Yarrowia lipolytica: one gene and its partner. The protein of the gene in region 2 interacts with the protein of the main gene of each other region in a pairwise test. Links are inferred from orthologs where the notes say so. Each region holds a gene or a part of one and is shown on either strand. Other genes may lie near its edges.

Evidence for each region.
Region 1: the proteins of YALI1_E02648g (region 2) and YALI1_E32396g interact in binary tests that used the Saccharomyces cerevisiae proteins (3 or more experiments, as listed by UniProt). The link is inferred for Yarrowia lipolytica from reciprocal best matches to the Saccharomyces cerevisiae genes DSK2 and PTH2.

What each region holds. Positions count from the first base shown.
Region 1 is NC_090774.1:3,238,399-3,241,578, forward strand, and holds YALI1_E32396g (uncharacterized protein), read right to left. Parts: upstream 1,196-3,180; coding exon 533-1,195; downstream 1-532. Other genes in the region: YALI1_E32361g (uncharacterized protein), read left to right, coding at 1-418; YALI1_E32411g (uncharacterized protein), read left to right, coding at 2,702-3,100. UniProt on the Saccharomyces cerevisiae protein: The natural substrate for this enzyme may be peptidyl-tRNAs which drop off the ribosome during protein synthesis.
Region 2 is NC_090774.1:263,045-266,470, reverse strand, and holds YALI1_E02648g (uncharacterized protein), read right to left. Parts: upstream 1,627-3,426; coding exon 1,601-1,626; intron 1,544-1,600; coding exon 538-1,543; downstream 1-537. Other genes in the region: YALI1_E02678g (uncharacterized protein), read left to right, coding at 1-216; YALI1_E02626g (uncharacterized protein), read right to left, coding at 2,190-3,426. UniProt on the Saccharomyces cerevisiae protein: Involved, with RAD23 in spindle pole body duplication. Involved in the ubiquitin-proteasome proteolytic pathway.

The DNA of each region.
Region 1 (3,180 bases), about 3.0 Mb from region 2:
GCATGATATCCAGGACGATGTGTGTGACGTTCTGGAGGAGGAGACCCCTCGAATGATTCTGGAGCTGCCTCAACCTCTCTCTGCTGGACAGCTTCGAAGTGTCTACTTACAGTACCTGCGACCTCGACAACGGTTGACTGACCGGGCAGCTCAACTGGTTGAACGATACTGGAAGATTCTGTGGATCGAAACGCAGAATAACTTTGCATACAAGTGTGTTGTGACTCGACCTGCTCTTACCTATAAGCGAGATCCTATCACCAAGCTGTCTACACGAGCGCGGGCTTATTGCATTGATTTGGACATGGAGGTTGAGGTTGAGGTTGGAGATCTTCAGCTTGAGCGAGGAGATCGGCTTGTCAGCATGGGAGTTGTGCGCGCTAATAAATACACTGGAGAGCTGGTCCTGTGTGTTTAGGTGTAGAGGAGTTTGGTAAAGGATGATAAGGGAGCATTTGTATATAGTAAATCATGCATTAATCTATGAGTTTCGTTGTTCAGTTGCTGTCTATATGCCCAGCACTTCAGTCGCTTACAGCAACTTTAGATGACCAGTGACTCGGTCAATCTCAGACTTGGGAGCAGGGCCGACACCTAGAACAGTGGCACTTCCTGCAGCAATCTGGGTTCGGCCAGCGTCTCGGATCACACAGGCGATGATACCTCGCTCGAGAGCTTGTCGCTTGAGCTCGAACAGCTCGGCCTCAGACTTGACCTGGAGGGCCACCTTGGCCTGGCCCCATCGGACCCATGATCGGGTGGTTTTAGGCTTGAGATCGGAGGACTGTCTGTAGCATGCCAGAGCTGCATGTGCACACTGGGCTGCGATCTTGCCCTTAGTCATCTTGAGATCAGTTCTCACCACCAGCACCATTTTCAATTCTCCACGGGCTTTGTCCTCGTGAGCCTGCAGCTGCTTGATGTCTTCCTCTGTGAACTCATCCTCGGACGAGTCGGCCTCGGAAGAGGATATCGAAGATGAAGATAGTCTTCGTGCAGCTAGCTTTCGGGGAGCAGGAGTGGTGGCTCGAGGAATGACGTATCGTCCAAGAATGACACCTGCGCCGACCAGACCGGATGCCACGAGGTAGTTGATTGTTTGTGTAGACAGGGTCGCGGGAAGAGTCAACATTGTAATGGTGTGTTGAAGTTGATTGAAATTTCGATGCAACGAAGTTTGATTTGGGTCATGCATGACATAAAGTGACGGAAGATGAGTGCACGCACTGCACTCTGTACCGATACAAGCGTCGGTACACTACTTGTACTTGTAGCTGCGATAAACAAGTTCAACGATGACAACTTACTTGCATTGTATAATGGAAGGAAAAATTATGTGCCATTTTGATATACAACCGAACTGTGTACTCGTACTGTATCTGAATATCAACATCACCTCGTTTGCTCTATGGTTAGCACCGTTAGAGTTCGGGACATCTCCAGCACAAGGCACAGTTACATGTATGTACAGTACTCTTCCTGTTAACAACCACCCAGCACTGATGTACTCCAATGACCAGGATTGGATGTGTTGGGTCTGACATGGCTCGTTGAACTTAAGCGATGCACTCTCGTATACGGTTTGCGCTCATACTGTAGACAGCTTTTTATGTTGCCTATTATGAGCAATGGAGATACACTACAGTAAAGAGATCCCTGATTGGATACTACTGATAGCAAGCCATGTGTAAACCCATCAAGAGCCTCATTCATATGTTTGTCCACGTGCCAAAACAGATCTCCAAGGAAACACTCACTAACAAATCTTTCTGCTAGTCAGATGAGATTCTCTCAGGGCCTTTCTTGGGTTGGTTAGTGCACTAGCGCATGGGCAGGATACAAACGAGTTGGAAAAACGCCACGCGCCATGGGTGAACGGAAACCTGTTCGCATCCATCTCGACTGCAGACCCCTTGGGCATGTTTCCCCGATGAGCACACCTCGTCAAGCTGCCGTCATTTGTTACAGCTCCCGTATGCATTGGGCTGGAAGTTATGCTGTGGGAACTTCTGCCACTGATGACATTGTTCAGGATGGCCTTCGTGGATCTTAAAGCATTAACTTCAAACATGCCGGCTCTAGCGAAAGGGACAAACCATCGATGTTTGTACTCGAACATCAGATCCAGAGCATGACAGACTGCCTGCTGTCTACTCTACTTGGACCATGGCGACCCATGATTCTTCTGCCAAGGGCCAGATGCGTGGGTTCATCACCGACAAATTCACAATGGTCGAGCCGTCGTTGCCTCAAGATGTGGGCTATCTCCCAAAGGCAGTTCTACCCAACTACAAGTCTCCCTCGATGATGCCAATGTTCGCGTTCGCAGATTATCGCCGATGTTGCCAACCAAGAGAAGCCGCACTCGGACCAATCTTGATTCCATGTACTTCTCCAGAAAGGGTCTAGACAGATTTACTCAGATTCTGGTGGTTCTGAACGATGTCGTTGGTGATAAGGCATGTGCTCGCGACCTTCTTGGTCGATTGAAGAACGCATTTACTGTGTTCGTCAATCACAGACAGCAGAATCCACTTGCTTACAACACCCTCTGGAAGGGCATTGTCTCTACTGCGGGCCTTGGTACGGACTCCCCCGCTGATTTCGGTAACTTACTACAATGACCTTCATATCCACTATGGTTATTTTGTTCATGCCGCTGCTATATCGCCAAAGTTGATAGAGAGCTGGGAGACGGGAAATGGCTCACTCAGAGAGACAGTGGGTCGATAATCTGGTGATAGACTACGCTAACCCCAGTCCTCAGGGTAAGAGCTTTCCTATTCATCGATCTTTCTACTGGTGGTCTGGTCACTCGTGGGCTAAGGGCCTGCATCTTAGTGCTGATGGTAAGGATGAAGAGTCTTCTTCTAAAGACTACCACTCAGTGTATGCCATCAAGCTCTGGGGTAATGCCAATGGTAACCAGGCAATGGAGGCCCGTGCCAATCTTCAGCTGGCTATAATGAAGCGTGCCATGAATACCTACATACTGGTACATGAAGGACAACAAGTGGAACCAGCCCATGAAACATTAAGAACAAGGTCCCTGGTATTTCGTTTGAGCACAAAGCTGATCATGCAACGTACTTTGGTATGAATCCCGAGTACATTATTGGTATCCATGCTCTTCCCACTACTCCTGTTTCTGCATACATTAGAGACCCTGCGTTTGTCAGA
Region 2 (3,426 bases):
AGCTTCTCCAGAAGCCGATCTGCAAGCCGAGATCGAACCCCCCGAGACCCCGAGGGCCATGTCAAGATCGATGCCATCTCCAACCCCACAGACCTTCGACAAAACATCCATGTCGTTGATGAGAGTGGCACCACAGATGATAGCCAGGACACTTACACTCGACCTGCTCCCGAGATTGGATTTGTTATCCCTGACCGAAGAGGAGATCAAGTTTGATCTGGGCAAGGTCATTGTATCATTAATTATAGACCTATAGATATTAGTGCATTGTTTTATTTAACATCAATTATTTCGTATACAGTATCTACAGTATGATCATTTTTGTACCTGTATGTGCCAGTACATGCAGCACCGGAACAGTAGTTTGAATCATTTAATATAATTAATACAGTTGCAACTTTCTGACTCTGATACTGCTGATGCAGGAGTTGGTACACGTAGCTAAATGAATATATATATGCGTACATTGGTTTGTCATTGAGCGGAAACGTCCGTTTGTCCCACCCCGGTAGCCCACTCTTCTAATCATCTCTTGACTTAAACACCACCGTCAAGAAGAGCCTCGATGGCTCCCTGCACGTTGCCTCCACTTCGTCGCAGAGCACGAACGTTTCGGTCAAACTCGTAAAAGCCAAGCTCGTTGAGCTGTCTCAGCTGAGACTCGTAACGCTCCTCCGGGGGTCGAGTGTCTTCGGGCTCAGCAGCAGGAGCAGAGAAAGCGTTACCACCGCCCAATCCACCAAATCCGCCACCACCCATCATTTGCATGAAGTTGGCCATGTTGTTGGCGTTGGCTCCCCCAGCAGCACCACCGGCACCGGCACCAGCTCCAGCACCAGCGCCATCAGTTCCGGCACCGGCACCGGGGGCAGCGCCAGGAGCGGGAAAAGCAGAGCCCTGAGCCTCGGGATTCATGGCTCTCTGGATCTGCATCATTCCCTGCATAACCTCGGGGTTAGTCATCATCTGTCGCATGTGGTCGCTTTGCAGCATCTGTCGAGCCTGGGGGCCCATGGCGGCCAGCTGGGGGTTAGAGTTGATCATCATGTCAAGCATCTGGGGGTTGTTGAGCATCGCCTCCACGGACTCTCTGTAGCCGGGTTGTCGCATCATGTTAATGAAGTCCTCTTCGGAGGGAGGCTGTCCAAACTGATCTCCAAACATCTGAGGGTTGATACCATGGCCAGCAAACTGAGCTCCAGTGAGCGCAGCCAGAGGGTTTCCTGCACCTGCACCGCTGGCGATGTTGTTGGGAATTCCGGTGGAAGCAGGATTGGAGGAAGCTGTGTTGGTTATGGCGGAGGTGGCGCTAGCGGCGGAAGCTGCGGAGGAGCCCTGGGGGGCAGCACCCTTGACAAGATGGACGGAGTGGCCCTCCTTGATGTTATAAGATCCGACGGTCTCTCCATCCTTGAGCACTCGGCCGGAGTAGATGAGTCGCTGTCTCTCGGCAGGGATATCCAGCTCCTTTGCCATCTGCTCCTTGACCTTGGAGACGAGGGTATCATTGTTGACAGACACCGGGACCTTTTTGTCAGAAGACCTGGGTTAGTAATTGCGCTTTGAAGATGCAGACATTGCTTCTTTTCGTTTCACTTACTTGATGATGATTTCAAAGTCGCTCATTGTGTGATTGTGGGGTAATGTTGTGTGGTTGTGCGAAGGAACCTCGATCTCTTAAACACTGAGATAGAAGGAGCTTCCAGTACTTTCTATGTCATTAGGTTTTCGACCTAACCCCGATAGGCGGTGGCGATCTACATTTGAGGGTACGGGCCACGTAACTATTCGTACAAGTAGTCGGCAGCCCCATAAACGCAAAGCTATATGTTTCTATGTACTTTTATGATCGCCTTTGTGACCCCTATCAAGTTTGCCTGTGGTTTTATTCCTGTGTACACTTGATGACTAAAAGTTGGAATTGAACCACATGATTGTGTGTCCCTATTTTGTTGGGAACATCAACTGTCCTTGTTGATGCAGATTATTCTAGATGAACATCCCTAATCAAGTACTCGTACGTACTGTACCTACAAGTACGCACAAGTACCGATACCAGTTTGATACCAACTTCCACAGTACATCCGCAAAAGGGTCATGTATATATTATGATACGAGTCGTTAAGTATATATACCACGTGGATAATATTAGACCTAAACTGACACTAAGGGCTACTACTGTAGCTAAACTACTCGGCCTTGATCGCTTTGCCTGGAGTAACCTTCTGAGATTTGTTTTCAACATAAATGTCGTCGTAATGGGGGAATCGAGCTCTCCACCAGAATCTCAGCTGGGTCCAAGGATAGGAAACGGCATTGTGAGTGGCTTCTCCAACAGACATGTACCACGACACGCACCCACCCGTGGCAAAGTTGGTCTGTTTGATAGCAGCCTGGATTCGCTGCACCCACTGGTCGTATGCCTGGGGCTTCACTGTCACGTAGTCACTTCGTCCCTGGATGACATCGGAAGCAACCGACTCCACAAACTTGAGACCGTTCTCAATACCGAAGATAACTGAGTTATGTCCAGTCGTGGCATTGGGACCGAACAGCATGAACATGTTGGGGTAGTTAGGCACCATGACCGTCTCGTACGCAGCGACCTTGCCATCCCAGAATTCAGATAAAGGCATTCCGTTCTCTCCAATCACATCCACAGAGGTCATTGATCGTCCAATGTTGAACCCCGTAGCGTCCACAATCAGATCAGCCGGATACTGGTTGCCATTGATGTCCTTGACTGAGTTCTTTCCAACTTCAACCAGCTTGTCAAAGGTCAGAAGCACACTCTCCATTTTCAAGGCTGCCCAGTAGCCGCAATCGAAGATGATTCGTTTACATCCGAGCTGATACTTGGGGATGGCTGTTTCGTGGTACTTTTCAGGCATGTTCTTCTTGGCAATTTTCACAGCCACCTTGGTTCGCATAGACCGATCGAAGTCGGACCACCAGCCTCCTCGGAACATATTCCAATTCATTTCCAGTAAGCAAAATACGAAGAATCGCAGGACAGGGATCAAGAACGGGAACCAACTGAGAATGGTCCGCAAAATAGGCCCAATAGTGACTGGAGTCCGTGGAACAATCCACTGTGGAGAACGGGCGAACTGAGTGACTGACTTCGCTGTTTTGGCCACCTCACTGGTGACCTGAGCAGCAGAACATCCGTTTCCAATAACAACAACGTCCTTGTTGTCGTAATCAAACGGCTTCCACTCGGCTGTATGCATAATGGGACCCTGAAAGTCTTCCATGCCCTTGATCTTGACATGGTTAGGTGTTACCAGGCATCCCTGGCCCATGAAGAGAACTCGAGCAGTGTGTGTGATGGTGTTGCCATTGTGAGCGATGGTAGCCTTCCACAAGCGCTCGTTAGGAATCCATTCGATTCGCTCGATCTCAGAATTGAAGGTTGCAAATGAC